3 linked regions of the Schizosaccharomyces pombe genome follow. Changing the gene in region 2 together with the main gene of any one other region gives a genetic interaction. Each region holds a gene or a part of one and is shown on either strand. Other genes may lie near its edges.

What was found.
Region 1: mutations in rtf1 (region 2) and sqs2 together harm fitness less than expected from each alone (positive genetic interaction), as found in Schizosaccharomyces pombe (one large-scale study listed by BioGRID).
Region 3: mutations in rtf1 (region 2) and ppk14 together harm fitness more than expected from each alone (negative genetic interaction), as found in Schizosaccharomyces pombe (one large-scale study listed by BioGRID).

Annotation. Positions count from the first base shown.
Region 1 is NC_003421.2:1,790,311-1,793,928, forward strand, and holds sqs2 (G-patch type RNA-binding protein), read right to left. Parts: upstream 1,765-3,618; 5' UTR 1,600-1,764; coding exon 1,036-1,599; 3' UTR 501-1,035; downstream 1-500. Other genes in the region: CDP-diacylglycerol-serine O-phosphatidyltransferase Pps1, read left to right, coding at 10-373, 457-461; hnt1 (adenosine 5'-monophosphoramidase), read right to left, coding at 2,527-2,928; protein Cox18, read right to left, coding at 3,456-3,618.
Region 2 is NC_003424.3:4,795,210-4,803,986, forward strand, and holds rtf1 (RNA polymerase I termination factor Rtf1), read right to left. Parts: upstream 3,919-8,777; 5' UTR 3,720-3,918; coding exon 3,281-3,719; exon of another isoform or gene 3,234-3,280; coding exon 3,067-3,233; intron 3,022-3,066; coding exon 2,934-3,021; intron 2,895-2,933; coding exon 2,783-2,894; exon of another isoform or gene 2,745-2,782; coding exon 2,412-2,744; exon of another isoform or gene 2,367-2,411; coding exon 2,215-2,366; intron 2,168-2,214; coding exon 2,058-2,167; 3' UTR 1,986-2,057; downstream 1-1,985. Other genes in the region: 20S proteasome complex subunit beta 6 Pam1, read left to right, coding at 270-947; sec24 (coincidence detector Sec24/Sfb2 subunit), read left to right, coding at 4,546-7,326; rRNA processing protein Rrp16, read left to right, coding at 7,970-8,106, 8,162-8,777. UniProt on the Schizosaccharomyces pombe protein: Mediates site-specific replication termination at the polar replication barrier RTS1, a barrier which ensures that replication of the mat1 locus in S.pombe occurs in the centromere-proximal direction.
Region 3 is NC_003424.3:768,671-773,166, reverse strand, and holds ppk14 (serine/threonine protein kinase Ppk14), read right to left. Parts: upstream 2,628-4,496; 5' UTR 2,545-2,627; coding exon 844-2,544; 3' UTR 501-843; downstream 1-500. Other genes in the region: tRNA 4-demethylwyosine alpha-amino-alpha-carboxypropyltransferase Trm12, read left to right, coding at 1-494; SPOM_SPAC4G8.04 (GTPase-activating protein), read right to left, coding at 3,077-3,355, 3,419-4,496.

The DNA of each region.
Region 1 (3,618 bases), on a different chromosome or scaffold from region 2:
ACAAAATAGATTTCATTTGGCGTATCTCCAGCCGTCTTTGCCTTTTGTTGTGGATTCCAAACGTTCCTTGATACCGTTATACTTTCCCTTTTTGTTTTGTGTGGTCTAACTAGATTGGCTCGTTTTAATGTTTCTGTCAATTCCATTCCTAAAGATGGATCTGGCAAGTCTCAGTTTTTCGAAGGAACGCCCATTCCTACCACCCTCTCCTTAGTAACCGTTTGCGGAGTTTGTATCTTAAAGGGAAAGACTCATGAAAATCTACCTTGGGGTGAGTGGTGTGGAAACACACCTTTTGCATTTCACCCGCTTGTGGTTTTGTTTGTGTTGAGTGGAATTGCTATGACTAGTAAGAAACTCAAAGTTCCAAAAAGTACGTTTCTATTACATTCGCTCAAATATGTTTAGAATGCTCTTTTTTTTTATTTTGTTTATATTAACTGATCGATTTTTTAGTTTGATCAACTGATGCTTTTATTCAATAGAATCCAAATGAAACTTTACAGTACAGCGATCTGGGTATACACAGTTTTTTTCACTTTTTGCTTTTGATGTTACTCGCATGCGAAGCCTTTTCCTCTCTTAAATTTATAATCCTTACTGAATCTCTTCTCATATCCTGTTTTTCCTTTTTTCTTCCATTTCGAAGATAAGTCTGTCCTTCACCTATTCGACTTAACCATTTTTAACGTAAATGCACTCATCATTGTTCATTCCTTCCCCCTTTTCCAAATATGTATTTCCGTCCTTTTAACAATTAGAAGCTGTTTTTCAACTTACCAGTTTTCTATTGCTCTCTTTATGAAAAACTTATGAAATTGAATTATTTCAAGTGATTGTACCCTCAACGGTAAAATATAGTAAAATTCCTTTAATTATTATTTCTTATATAGTCATCATGATGAGCAACCAAAAATAAAATTCTTTATAAAAAAGAAACTTTCCCAAAATGATGGTGAAAAGTAATTTTTCCTTCTAAATAAATAATGTTTTGTAAATATACACTATGAGGATTTAAAATCTCCTCGTCAAAAACTAATGAAGACCCTGTTTATTATTTTTTACAACAGCCACAACCGGATCAACCATTCCTTGGTTTTCAGAACCAAGTCCCTTCCCCCGAGACCAACCCATCATTTCTAAAAGTTGTTTTCCTTTGCCATTATTTATAGCGGGAGCGCTAGAACCAACAACATGACCGTCCATACGCTTTTTTGTATTGGTTGACACACTTCCTTCCTGTATTTGCACGCGTTTCCTTTTTTTCAAACCTTTAGGAGTCATTTCAACAAGTTTGGATTTTCTTTTCTTTGACAATTTCACGTCAGTTTGAAGTGCAAAATGACGATCATACTCAATCATGCTCAACGAAGTCTCTTCTTCCGCAATGTGGCTCATATAATCTAGTTCCACTTCTTTTCTCCTTTCACCAAACAGCATTTCATATTTTTCTAAAGCATCCTCATTGCTCAAGTGCTTCGATGGCTTCTTTTTTGGTTGAACAATCTTTGGCTTCCTTGGAGGAGGTTTTGGAGATGCCTCTACATTTTCCCATTGAGAAGATGTAATAAAAGAACCGTCTTCCACAATAATTGCCATTGTATTAATAAATGTTCGAAAATTCAGCAAATTTACAAAAACCAGCCTGAGTTGGCATTGGTGCTATAAAGAATGCACAACCCAAGAAACTTAAATTTTATGAGATCAAGGATAATAATAGGGATTTATTAAAATCAAGCCTGACTATTCCACAAATTCGCTCTCAATTATAAAAGTTTTGTTCGTGCAGTATAGCTTGCTACTATAAACCAAGTGTGACTTGGTTGATGAATAATTGTTACTTTGGGTAAGTAAATACTATCGCAGTGGTTTTGATCAATTATTAGCAATACCCTGATAGAAAGGCTCAAATATAATTTTGCATGTTAAAAATACTAGAATTCTTCAATGCTGTCCGGCAAAAATTTCTTCAAACAATCAAGTTTTAAGTTGACGCCGCAAGATGTCTTTCATTTTCTTAAAAGAAAAAAAACAAGCTAGGTCATCAATAAAATAATATGATACTGGAAATAAACATTCTCTGATGCACATTTACTAATCTTTCCGTCTGCAAGTTTCATAACCTCATATTAGGAAACCAACTACCCTGCATGGATTAATATTTAGACCTTAGACTACAATTTGAACAATGTTCTTCAAACACACCTTTTCTAATCACTAGAATAACAGGTCCAAACATTTGTACCATACATTCCGTATGCACACTACTAAACAAAATCCCTTTATTCACCTTAAACTATGCAAAGATAACAGCAACTACTTACATTGGAAAGGTAAAACAAGTAGGTAAAAGTGTATAAAACAAACTTTTCATTTCTAAAAAACATAAACGTCAAACAACACCCAATAACGACTTTCATGAAAAACACAAGCCTATTCTACAAAGACAGGGCTCATGTTTTCCTTATAGTTCTCGCCAAGTCAAGGAAAGTTTCGATTCAACGAGACACACAGAACAAAAAAAAACTATTTAATCTTAGAGCTGATTTCCTCGCCCAATGCCTTTATTTCTTCAGGAGAAATAGGATAAGAGGGCCAGCCTACTCCTAATCCATATTCTTCGTTAGGCTTGGGAATGATATGGAAATGAACATGATCCACAAATTGGTGAGCAATGCGACCATTGTTTTGAAGTACATTGTAATTTTCAGGACCAATAGCCTTTGTCACCTTTTTGACAAGGGGAAGAATATCTGCACAAGACTCATCGCTCAGTTCATGCATCTTAGCGGCGTGCTCCTTGGGAATAACTAGTGCATGTCCCTTAGATGTAGGAGCAATATCAAGGAAAGCCAAAGACAAGGCTGTTTCAGCTAGTTTCACACAAGGAATATCTCCTTTAACAATTTTACAAAATATGCAGCTCATAGTGGTGGTTAGCTTAAGTCAAGGATGTGCAAGTGGGAAAATTATCGAAATTTACCGTAGTTAACGTAATAAACAGTGTGAATAAGTCAAATGTTTTTAAAAAAAATGTAAATTTTAAAAACGACTTACATGAAATCAATAGTTAAATTCTTCCTTAAAAATGGAGTAATCGGCGAGGTTGCATTTCTCAAAAAGCTTTGCAGGTAGTCATCCTTGAAATGCCAAACTCATGTCACACGAACAAGCCTGTAATACTAATGATATTTATTAAATATTATTTGGCATTTTAATAATAAAGTATCTTATTTTTCATTACTAATTCAGTCAGTTTTTGCCATGATCAGATGTTTTGTGACAAAAGATTTTCCTTTTGGTAGGCCATAACAAATCAAAAACCTAGCTTTACCATAAGAATGTAGGTAATTATGTACGGAAAGAAAGAAGGAATAATATGTGAGTCTCGACTAGTCAGGTTTGATTTTGTTAAGACCTTTCAGAACCAAACATGTAGAATTACTCTTGCTCTTCTATAACAGCTTTCTCAATGCAACGTTTTGTACCAAAGAGTAAATTGCAGAGGTAGTCCAGTATAAAGACAATGCCGTAGAAGTCTTAAATGCCATAAAAGATACAAAGAAAGCAGACATTATACCAGCGGTATTGAATATTTTCAGCAATCGAGAATCCGAA
Region 2 (8,777 bases):
AGATAACATTACTAGAAAACTCAAAAATATACATCTTCCTAGGTAATTTTATATAGAGCAATGTATATTTTTGGGGGACAATTATGAATAACGTATTCACTGCTATAGTACAAGTACTTAGGTAACATAAGCATATCCAACTCACCAACTACTAAGCACCAAAAAGGTTTGTTGAGACAATAAATAGTGCTCTAGCAAACTAGAAATTAATAATTCGCTTCATCTTTTAAACTTTTTAAGAAAAAAATAAATTAAACGTCACAAAAATCATGTCACAGTCTCAGTTTGATCCTTATGTACAAAATGGTGGTACCACTGTTGCAATCGCTGGCGATGGGTTTGCCATTTTAGCTGGAGATACAAGAAGTGTTAATGGTTACAACATTAATACGCGGTTTCAACCTCGCGTGCATGAAGTCGGTGATGATTTGGTCATTGGAGCATCTGGTTTCGAAGCCGATGCCCTAGCTTTAGTTAAGAGAATTCAACAAAGAATTGACTTGTATCATGATAATCATGAACGCAAGATGAGTGCACAATCCTGTGCTTGCATGGTACGGACACTTTTGTACGGAAAGAGATTTTTTCCCTATTATGTATATACAACCGTTGCCGGCATCGATAAAGAGGGAAAAGGAGAGATTTATTCTTTTGATCCTGTTGGCTCTTATGAGCGGGAATGGTGCCGTGCTGGTGGATCCGCTGCAAACTTCATTACTCCATTCCTCGACAATCAAGTGAACTTACATAATCAGTACGTTCCTGGTTCACATGGAAAAGAGAGAAAGCCAAGGAGACTTTTAAAATTGGAGGAAGCTATGAAGATTACTACTGATGCATTTACAAGTGCTGGAGAACGACACATCGAGGTTGGTGATTCAGTTCTTGTTAAGATTATCACAAAAGAAGGTGTAGAGACAAGAATTATTCCTTTGAAGAAGGATTAGATTTTTGTAAATATGACTTTTTTATGTTCCACTGTCACAGATATAGCTTCCTAGAATGGCAGCCTGCCTGTCAAGCTCAATTCCAATTTCGGATTGCATGATTATGTATGAGATTTTATCGGAGATATCCCTATTTTGAAAAGCCTAGTCTCAATTTATTTTACAAGTTAAACATTTTTTTTTGTCTTTGATGTACATTGCATAGTTTCATGGCGTATTTATGAATGTGTAGAGGATAAGTTCGAAACAACTTAAACTTGTAATTTTTTTAGTCATATTTATGAAAAGGATTAGTTAGGAAGTGATAGAATATTTGACATAAAAATCAGGATTTCAGTACATCAGTAATTTAAATTCCGTTCTTTGACTCTATGAAATCACTAGACGCTTGGCTAATTTATCATAAAGAAAAAATTATTTAATGATTTTACTTTTCTTCAATCAACCTCTTTTCATCCATATTTTATTTTCGCATCAATGAATAAAAATTTATGATGGGTAAGTAAATAGAATTATCTGATTTGTTATTTTGTGGGCATCACTTCTGTATTCATGTATTATTAATGAAACTTACTTAGTTTTCATTTATGTCTCTCTGTGTACTATTAATTTAATTCAAAAAATTCAGAAATGACCTGTCAAAATAGCCTCTTATGAATGCGGTTAATGTATGAGTTATTGACTGATAAAAAAACTAGATGCAGGCACCCTTGCTAAATTAATCAATGATGATGATGATTATTTTATTTTATAGCTTGACATTCGTTCTTTTTTTTAACCTTTTATTAATAATGGGTTAAATTATAACATCATATCGACTGGGGATGTAGTTTAGGGGTATAACGTTTCATTCGCATAGTTCGCACCTTGAAAAGGTCCCGGGTTCGATTCCCGGCATCTCCAATGTTAGAAACTATTTTTCCTTTTTATCCACATTTGTTTTATTTATTGACTACACGGCAAACAGGTTACATACACAAATGTATACTAGAAAAAATATAAAAGTGAATTTACTAATATAAGTAAGATGAGAACATTCTCTCAATGAATACACAAAAAATTTAAATCTATGACTTTGAGGAAGTAGTTAAAATAAATTTGTTCATGTAGCTAGCATAAATCATCGGCGTTAGAAAAAGCGGTGTAAGAATCATGTAAGTTCGAAATGTAAGTTTCTTCAGGAGAAGAATTTAGCATTTTGTGCAAATGAATTAAAGTATCTAAAGCGTTAACATATTAACAATAATTATTATATTCAAAAATTTACCAGAAAACGTAGAAAGTCCATCGATAAACAAGGTTTTTTTTATTCTTTCGAAATGCGATTTACAAGCATCTGCTGTCCATAGGTGATTAGCATATTCTGATAAGCATTTCCAATCAATCATCCGTTCCTCTGCAACATTAAGGTCCATCATTCTGAATTTAATTAGCTTCTTATTTAAAATTTTATAATTGGAGTACCTTTCAATTAACCATATACTATCGCCAAGTTTGAAAGGGGAACTATTATGTATATCTCTGGAAATTAGTGTGTAATACTTCCACCTACAATGATGACGGTGTCGATTTCTCATGTTTTTAGAAATTAGACTCCATTGAATAGGGGATGAAGGATTGCTTTGCAAGTATTGATTAACCGTTTTGATTAATTTTTCTTTCTCCTGGATAGTCCATGGTGAACGATTGATTTCACCAGGTTGAATGTAGTCGCGCCAATGATCTCTGCAATGCATTGGTAGTCTATTCGACAATTTGCCAATTAAGCTCCAGGATGTTCCATGTTTTTCAACAAGTCTATTAGTTAGTTGCAATTTGGAAAGTAAACTACATACTTTTTCAATTCTGCCTCATCTTCTATAGTCCATTTACATTTTTTCTTAAATGGATTATATTTTCTGCGGAGATAATTGTAAATACTCTTTTTATCCCTATCGATAAGCTCATCTATTATTAATTAGTAACAAGTGATAGTAATTGACTTACACAAACAATTATATAATGTTTTCATTTCATCACGATGGTTATCAGACCAAACATATTGAAGAAATTGTTCATCAGACCAATTTTTTTTCTGTTTTTTAATATTTATAATAAAACAGCAAGCTAAAGACCATACCTTTTTAAACATAGCAATTTCTTTTTCCAAAGTGATAATGTCGTTTGCTCCCCATGATCCAGACGACGCTTTTTTAACGTATTGAAACCTTTCATAACCTGGAATGTTAAAATATCCCTTAAGATGCCTATACACAGTCCTTCGTGAAACATTGGGCACTTGAATTTCTAGACTTGAATTAGCGGATTTTTTTGAAAGCACTCAGGTGTCATACGAAATTGAATGAGTAAATTATTGAAAGGTTTTGGAAGTCTTTTGGTTTTAATAAGAAGATCTCTCGCAGCCACAAAGTTTAATTCGCTTTCTTTCAAAAATTCATCAATTAGTTGACTTAACAGAACCCAAAAAGTGGGTGTCCAGTTGGTGTAATCTCTACTGAATACAAAGTCTTTATATGAAGTAGTGCCTGTTTTTTTGAAGCCTCGACATGTTTCATGGTCTTTCGCACTTCCAGCAATTGCTGTTTTCACATTTTCAGGTGATACCATAGTCTCATCATAATTGTATTCATGAAAGCTTATGGGGTTTCCCAAGTAAATGAAAGAACTTGTATTTTTCGAGTCACCAATGGGTGATAAGAGTTGATCATCGACAAAGAGCTCTTCATTGTCCTCTGTATCCGGTCTGCAACTTAAATTGTTTTTTCCTTGCATAATAATGTTCACTTGTCTGAAGAAATATTAAGAAAAAAACATTGACAAAAGGTAATCAGTATAGCAAGGGACCCGGGGTGTAATAGTTCATGTAAGACAAAACCAAATAGCGCAGGCAACTTCAATTATTCAATCTATAATTGAACTTTTGATACTTTGCAATTCTGAATTCTAATTAACTAGTGAGCCTGTTAAAATTGGGTAACATTATAGAGCGTTGGTGTAGCTAAATAGTGTACGATACATGCAGTGATGGTTTTTGAGAGCATTTTTAAAAAAATTTCAAAATTTCTTAAGATGTGACTCTCTTGTTTATGATATATACATGTAAAATTTTTAAAATAGAAAATTAAGTATGAGTGGTTTAGAAGAGTTTTTTTAGTTGAAAACGTTTACAGGTATCTGCCTCATATCAAACTTAAAAAAAAAAAAGAATAAATTAAAACGATAAAATATCTCTATTGGCTTTTGTTTACTAATAATCACTATTTTTTATCAATTAGGTACAAAGTTCCTGCCTATGTTAAAATTATTAGGGTAATAACGTGTGTCACCGATATAATTACTACGATACATAGTATTTAATAACGAAACTGTAAAGCTCGTTAACTTTCCAGTGATTACCTTAACTTTCCATCTACGTTAGTTGAACCAGCGAATGTAGCTGCCATTTACCTACTCCAGGGAACACTGTTAAAAACGTCTTTTTGTGAAAAGGAAGGAAAAATAGAGGGATCTTCAAAAAAGTTATTAAATAATTCAGTGTTTCTTTTCTTTTTTTTGCTAGCAATATACCACTGTAAGTAAAAAAAAATACACTAAAGCAATGAGTCAGGAGGACGCTTTCTACGGAAAGGGTAGTTATGGAGCTAGTAGTGGAAATTCGAATATACCTCCTCAAGGATTTCAGCCAGTTTATCCAGTTGCTGGCCAGCTAGATAATACCGCTCCTTATGTCGGGGCAGTTGCTGAGGGTACAGCTGAAGGCATTGTAAGCAATGGTGAATACGCTGTTGGAGCTATGGGTGCTGCTCCTACCAACATAATAGGATCTGTCGATCAACAACCACCCGTTTCTCATACCTCTCATAAGTCTCGTAGACAGTATCCTGCTGAGGTGTTTGAACTTACAAATACCTTAGCAGCGTCACCGGCTCCCCCTTCTCTTTCAGAGCCCTCTTACGTTATGGCACGAACTCCATCCTCTTCACCATATCCTCATGATCGCGCAGAGGTGGGAACTAAATCTCTCTCTGCACAATTTGGCGGAATGTCACTTGGAGCAGATGGTGCAGCAGCTATGCCTACCAATGAGTTAGTTTCTGTTGATTTGTACAATCAAACACCAGAAATTTCTGACTTAACCTCTCCTCCTCCTCCTATTAATTTACCCTTAAGCTATTCCGCTACTGGAGCAGCTACTTCCAATTGCCCTCCCAAATATGTTCGATCCACGATAAACTGTGTACCGACAACAAATAGCTTGTTAAAAAAGTCAAAAATTCCATTTGCATTAGTCATCCGTCCATATACTAGCTTGGTCGAAGAAGATGATCCAGTTCCAGTTGTTACTGATACTATTATATCACGATGCCGCAGGTGTCGTATGTATATCAATCCTTTTAGTATCTTTATTGACAATGGCCATCGCTATCGCTGTAATTCTTGTGGTATTGTTAATGAAGTACCCCAGTCATATGACTGGGACAGTTTCAGAAATGTCCAACGTGATCGCTGGCAACGTCCTGAGCTCAATTATGCAGTTGTTGATTTTATTGCTCCTCAAGAATATATGGTTCGTGCTCCACAACCTTTGGTTTACGTATTTTTAATTGATATTTCGTTTGTATCCATATCTTCTGGTATGGTTGGTACTGCAAGTCGTGCAATTCTGGAATCATTGGATCGCATCCCCAATAAAGAAGGACGTGCAAAGGTGGCTTTTATTGGTGTAGACAGTGCCCTGCATTTTTTTTCAGTTTCCCCTGGTGCTGAAGAAGCCACCCAACTAGTTGTTTCTGATTTAGAGGAACCGTTTTTACCCAGGAATCAAGATTTGTTACTTAATTTACGCGAATGTAGACAAGGCATTGAAAACTTACTCGAGCGATTTCAATCAATGTTTGCAACTACCCGTGATTCTAGTAATGCCCTTGGACCAGGTCTTAAGGCTGCCCATCGTCTCATTGAAAATATTGGCGGTAAAATTTGCTGTCTCATTTCGAGTCTTCCTAATGTTGGTGTTGGTAAATTGGAGTTACGTGAAGATCCTAAACTTTTGGGAACAAATCGTGAATCTAGCCTTCTTCATCCCAATGACTCCTTCTATAAATCCTTCGCGGTGGAATGCTCCACGTCTCAAGTCTCTGTTGATATGTTTCTTTTTTCTTCTCAGTATCAAGATGTAGCAACCTTAAGTTGCCTTCCTAGATACACCTCTGGTAAAACCCAATTCTATCACAGGTGGAATGCTTCCCGTAGCGAGGACGCTCTTAAATTTGCTTCTGAACTTACTAACTATCTCAGTATGGAGATTGAGCTAGAGGCGGTGATGCGTGTTCGTGGATCTAACGGTCTCCGTATGTCTTCTTTCTACGGAAACTTTTTTAATCGTTCAAGTGATCTATGTGCGTTTCCTTCTTTTCCTCGCGATCAGAGTTATGTAGTAGAGGTTGTTATTGAGGACACTATCACCAAGCCCTTTGTTTCTTTCCAAACAGCTATGCTCCATACTACTTGTAACGGTGAAAGACGGATTCGTGTACTGACTATTTCTCTTCCTACTACCAATAGTATGACTGATTTATATGCATCAGCCGATCAAGTTGCCATTGCACAATATCTTACTGTCCGGGCTAGTGAAAAGGCTCTTTCTTCTACGTTGAACGAAGCCCGTGATAGCATTATAAGTAAGCTTGTAGAAATTTTGGAAGTTTACAAAAAAAATTTGGCTGGACAAAACACCGGTGCTGCGATCCCGCTTCAAATAAGCACCAATTTAAGACTATTACCATTGCTTTGTTTAGCATTGACGAAGCATACTGGATTCAGAAGATCTAGTCATATCTCATCTGACCTTCGTTCTATTGCTCTATGTTATTTAAGTACTCTGCCAACTCCTTTACTAATGCGTTACATTTATCCAACTCTTTATTCTTTGCACGATATGCCTATTGAAGCAGGAACTGTTACAGAACAGGGTGTAGTTCTCCCTTCTGCGTTAAATCTTACTTCAGCTTTGTTGCAATCTTTTGGTTTATATTTGGTTGATACACACATTCATCAATTTTTGTATATTGGTAAAGATGCAGTTCCGCAGCTACTGATAGACGCATTTGGTGTAAACTCTCTTGCGGATTTGAAAGCTGGACGTTTTACAATGCCAGTTATAGACAACCCACTTAACGTTCGTATCAATGCGATTCTCGGTAAACTTCGTTCGTTGGATAAAGGTTCAACTATTATGCCTAGTCTTTACCTTGTACGTGGTGATGGTGATCCACAATTGCGCTCATGGTTTTTCTCTCACTTCGTCGAGGATCGTAGTGAGAACTCTCCCAGCTATTTACAGTTTTTGCAGACTCTTAAAGAGAAAGTTCGTGACTAAAGGCTGTAAAATCTGGCTACTTTCTACAAAACTTTTTTAAATTGATTGTTCTGATGGTAATATATGCCTGAATTAGTGACATGATTAATTAATAATATTCAATATGGTTAAACATTCTTTGGTTTTTTGTATTTTTAAGAAAAAAAAAATTTAAATAATTGATCTAGTAAATATACTTGGTGCTTTTTATATTGATGAAAGCTATATATGTATCAAACTAAATTAGGTATTTGCGTACATGTAGCTTCCAGCCAGCTTGTACATAAATTTTAGCTTTTATACCTTGTCTATTTTCATATTACTTGATGTTGAAGTTGTTCCAAGAATAACAAAAGGTTCTAATAATTTAATTTAATTCATTACAATTGAGTTGCAGTGTATAGATTTTCAATTTCGCACTTTAGAGCTTCACATCTTCTATTTAAAGCATAAAAAAAATATTAAATATTTATTAAATTTCATTTTCATTGCAATTAGATTATATATCCAGGCGAGTATTCACTTATATTGAAAAACTAATTTAAGAATGTAATTTTGCACTGCGGTACTAGGTGCTTGGCAAGTGGTAGAATTTTGCCTTCTGCCAAGCACTCCTAATTGTAGTAATTAGATTAGAGAGTCGAAATCCTATTATTTTAAAAAGATGGGAATCAAAGAGAGGAATGCACCTTCTCAATATAAACAATCATCTCGTAAAAACAAACGAGCATGGAGGAAAAATATTGATTTGGAGGATATCGAGTCTGGTCTAGAGCAGACTAGAGATGAGGAAATAAAAGGGTATATTAGTTTTTGCATTGTATTAATTAAAAATATTTTTATTAACTTAAAACAGTGGAAATGTCGAGCACAAGCCGAATGATGCTTTATTTGTAATTGACACTCTTGGTGATGATAGAATTGCAAAAAGAAGCAGAAAAAAAATTAAACCATTAAAGGTTGATCAAATTCTTGAAAATAAGTCTTCCATAGAAAAAGTTCATTCTCATTTAACGAATAATTCAACTGAAAGCAATAAGAAAGGAAAAATTTTTTCTAGAAAAGAACTAAATAGACTACAAGCTTTGGTGTATAAAAATAAAGATGGTTTAACCGCAACTTCTGCTGCTAGTGAGCTCAAAAATACCAAACAACCAAAGGAAAGTTATGATGTTTGGGAAACAAACCCAACAGTTACTATACCTGTTAAAAGACCTTCTACATTATCTAAACTACCCGAATCTTTAACTGAGAATAATGCAAAAGTCCCAAATGTTGTTATCGCTGATCCAGGAATGTCATACAATCCTGACGCTGCAGCTTGGATGAAGCTACTTGATACCAAAGGTTCAGAGGAACTTAAGAAAGAACAGAAAAGAATTAGTGAATTAGAGGAAAAGGAAAGAATACAGAAGAAAGCTTTTGAAGACAAGGGATTAGTTTCAGACCAAGACGTTAATCACAGCATTGAT
Region 3 (4,496 bases), 4.0 Mb from region 2:
GTATAGGGTACTTTACATTTTCTTACGTTAAAGCGGGAGCTTCAACAGTTTTTTGCTGGGAAATTAATCCATGGAGTGTTGAAGCGTTAAGGAGAGCTGCTTTGAAAAATGGCTGGTCTATTTATGTAGTTCGAAATGGAGAAAACTATGAATTTAAAGTAGGAACTCATCGTATTGTAGTTTTTTTGGAAAGCAACGTTTATGCAGCTGAAAGGTTCTCCAAAATGAATATTTCTGCTCGACATATAAATTTGGGAATGCTCCCCTCTAGTGAAAAATCCTGGTCAACCGCTACTTCAATTTTAAAGCGAGAATCACATTCCTTTATACATGTTCATGAGAACGTAAAAGATGAAGATATCGAAACATACTCTTCTGAAGTGAATTCATGTTTTTCAAAAATGTTGGCTAAAAATACAGTTTGTGTTACAAATTGTGTCAAATCATTTTCACCACGAGTGTCACATATCGTTTACGATATAGAGACGGTTTAGTTAATGGTAATTTTGTTAAGGTGGTTTTTGGTTATTTTACAAAATATGTTATTAGAATGGTATATGTTATATTCTGTCTAGAAGTTTATTTAACTTCCTATTGAAAATAGAGAAAGCATGTCTGAATCTGGTAAAAGTAAGGTAGAAAAAAGAAAGACTTTGTGGTGAAAAGGAGAATCTAGTTAAGCGAAATATTTTGTGCCTCAACAACGTATCAATATATGCAATGAATGAAGTCAGCAAATGCTCTTTTAATAATGGATTGATTAAACAAAAAGATGAGAAAAATATCATAGACGTGCGAAAAATTACCATCAATATGCAAGTTACAGGAAGAAAAGAAAATGACCTAATCCCACTCATGATGCACAGTAACTGAATTAAACGATTCGAAGGGATCATCTCCATGATCTGCACCCGATAAATTAGATAGGGGAACTTCAACTGTTTGTGTGTTTTGGGGAGAATGAGTAATATCCAAACTTTTACTTTCCTTTAGATGGGAAATATTAGGATTGCCTTTTTCATCAATAGGGGCAAGCTTTGGAATAATCGGAGGCTCAGTGTGCCTTAATAGAGCCCATTGGACATTTTTAAAAAAAGGATGAAGCTTCACGTCTGCAGCACCAGCCTGTGACCCAAGGCGATCATTTTCATCTTTCACTAATAATTTTCTAATCAAATTCTTGCAAAGGCTGGAAATTGAAGGAGCATCCGCATATTCAGGGAATATAACATCCTTGTGTAAAATATTCGAAAAAGTCATGTTTCTATTTTTACCTTTGAAAGGAGTCGTGGCATATAGCATTTCATAAAATAAAATACCCAAAGTCCACCAGTCAACAGCGCTTGTATGACCACAACCCTTGATAACTTCTGGAGCAATATACTCTTCTGTGCCGACAAATGAATTTGTGCGAAAATCTGCGATACATGATTTTGTATCCAATGCGTAAGCATTTTGAGCGGATGGTGCATTCCTGGCCTGAATTACCGTTGGTGCACCGGCAGAGTTTGATTGTTTAGATAAATCAAAATCAGAAAGCATAATATGTCCTGACTCATGCAACAAAATATTTTCAGGCTTCAAATCTCTATAAATAAATCCCATCAAGTGGAGGTATTCTAATGCAGCGGTAACTTCTGCAATGTAAAATTTGGCCTCGTTTTCTGATAAACAACGGCCAGGACGTCGTTGCAAAGCTCGAAAAAACTCACCTCCCATACAATACTCCATACATAAATAAAGGTATTCATCAGATTGAAAAGAATGATAAAGTGTAACAATGAATGGGTGGTTACTTGTCGCAAGAATGTGCTGTTCTGCAAAAGCTCGTTTGCTTTTGTTGCGTTTAATCATTTCTTGCTTACTCAAAACTTTCATGGCATAAAATTTGCCAGACTTTTTTTCTCTAACAAGATAAACTCGACCGACATCTCCCTTGCCAAGTAGAAAAACCTTTTCAAAGCTAGATGGACCAACCTCAACATCACATATCTTGATAGAGTTGGAAGAATATGTTCTCGCTCTCGTTGCAACAGTTTTCTTAATATGAGCCAATTCTTTTTCCTTCCCATGAGGACTGAAAATATCTTTTAACTTTTCTCGCTGAACTGAGGTATCAGCACCATTACTACGAGAAACATTTCGCGACTTGGGAACATCTTTCTTCTTCCTCCCACTTTTAAAAAACGATTTTTTTATTACGGAAATTGAATCAGTACCACTCCCGTCACCACCTTCTGCGGAACTACCAGTGCCATCAATTTTGCGATCAGACTCTTCCTCGGTCTGCGACTCAGGTGCACCAGAAGGTGATTGATTTGCAGCATCGCTATCTTCCGACGTCAATTCTTTTTCCTTCTTTCGAGAAAAAGCAAACTTTCTGCTATCCTTAAAATGCAGCCTTATGAAGGCTCGAAACTTGGATGGCTTGGCAGTGCCGGAATGTTTCCAGTGTCCTGTGTCATCTTTCTTAGCTTCTTCTAGGTGATCTTCAACATTGATCCTTCCTTCCTCAGAGCTCTCACCATCATGAAGTTCATTCATTTGCTTTTGAAAGTGCTACGAGTCGGTCGCAATACAATTCAATTCCACTGATATTTTTGTGTATGGCGGAAAGTACACCGGATGACATTACTGAGACACTGACACTTATGATATACTAGAAATATAACCGACTGCGTTATCGATCGTTGTACCTCACAAACCGTAAGAGCAATGTTTATATAGCATACAGGAAAATATATGAAGAGCAAGAATCTGTCTATGTTTATTAAACCAAACAAATCAAAAACTATAAGTGAAAGTTATGCATGGATTGCCTAGCTTCATACAAGAGTTTTCAAAAAAGATTTTACATTCTATACTTCCAAATTATAATGAAATGGACTCCTGAAACAGCATTAAAATAACCCAGTCATAGTATACAGTGATGGAAAACATTAAAAAATTATATTCATGAGTAACCCAACATAAAAATGAATAAGATGCCCATGAGGCAACAAAAAGCTTTTTTATTTATTAAAGATCATAACTTACCAACGATCACGAATCAAACCAGTAAAACAAAACAAAGAACTCAATAATTGACCGCTAAGTTTAACGAAGAAATAGCCAAGTTACGTTTCCGTTCAATACTCTTTTCCGTAACAAGTTTGGACCACCGATCAGCAGCCTCTTTAATAAACGAATCGGGTTGAAAAGAGTATTGAACCAAATCACTCAAAAATGAGTAGATGGCAGAAGAGGAATTGCATGCTAAAATTTGTTGCTTTAAAGATTTTAGAATCGTAAGTGCAACTCTAAATAAGCATACATAACCATCACAAAACAACATGTCAAATATTCTAAAAGATATCTAAAAAAAAGTAGTTAGTAAACAATTCATACTTTAATAATCTTTCAAAACCACTTATCGTACATTCGTAGGGAGTGTATCAGTATATACACTTAAAAACCAATGAAATGAAATGGCGTCCAAATCAACCCCAAGTAATTCTAAATGGGAATAGATTTCCGGTAATGACTCTTTCACAAAGCTTTTCAAAACCAGCTGATCAGCTCGCGAAGTCATCAGGTCAGGAGTAAAGTATTTCGGAGGTAAAACGTTTTCAATTATGCTCATTAGCATATAAAACGCGTCTTCTTCTGAAGCATATAATAAAAGAAGAAAGGCACCAATAACATTCATTCCTTGACAATAGCCTATGTGTGGATTGTGGCGGCTATAAGCAACTAAAATTCGTCGTAATTTCGGGATTCCAGGTCCTTTTCCTCCAAAAAATACATTTTTAGCCATAGTCCTGTTAATATCCATATCGATTTGCGCAACACTCGCTGATTCAACCTCATCAGTACGTGATAATAGTTCTTCATAATAGCCAGGTGAATGTAATTGATAAGCGCCTGAGCACTCTAACCAAACTTTAGCTTTATAGCACAAAGGAACACCATTTTTCACAAGTTCACGAAATTTATGCCATCTTTTTTTACCATGACGCCCTTTAACACCTATGCTAGATATTCCTAGTAAACCAATTGTATCCTCATCGGTAATTTTATATTTTTTGTACAAGCGTTGAAAAAACAAGCTCCAGTTTTTTTGTCGGGTACTTTCTTTCATATCCAATAAAATATCTTTTTTATTTAGCAACAATGGAGAATCGTTGAGCCCATCTAACTCGTTGCCAAAAAAATCATCAACCAAGCCATAATTGCTTTCATAGAACGACAGAGTCTGTTTCTGATTTAATTTTATGTCCTCCGGACATAAAGGGGTGTCGTGACTTGGTCGTTTTTGTAAAAAACCAAATTGATCGAGAATTTCCTTGGAATTATTATCTAAATAATCTTTCCAATCATTTCGCATTGAGGGCGGCTGGGTTTCCTTAGGAATCATATTTCCCAACTCCACAGAACCAATTGAAGGCATCGAAGGTGCTGTTGATGAAAGAGAAAGAGGCTTGTTATTTAAATTTGAGGTGCTCAATAGCTTGCTA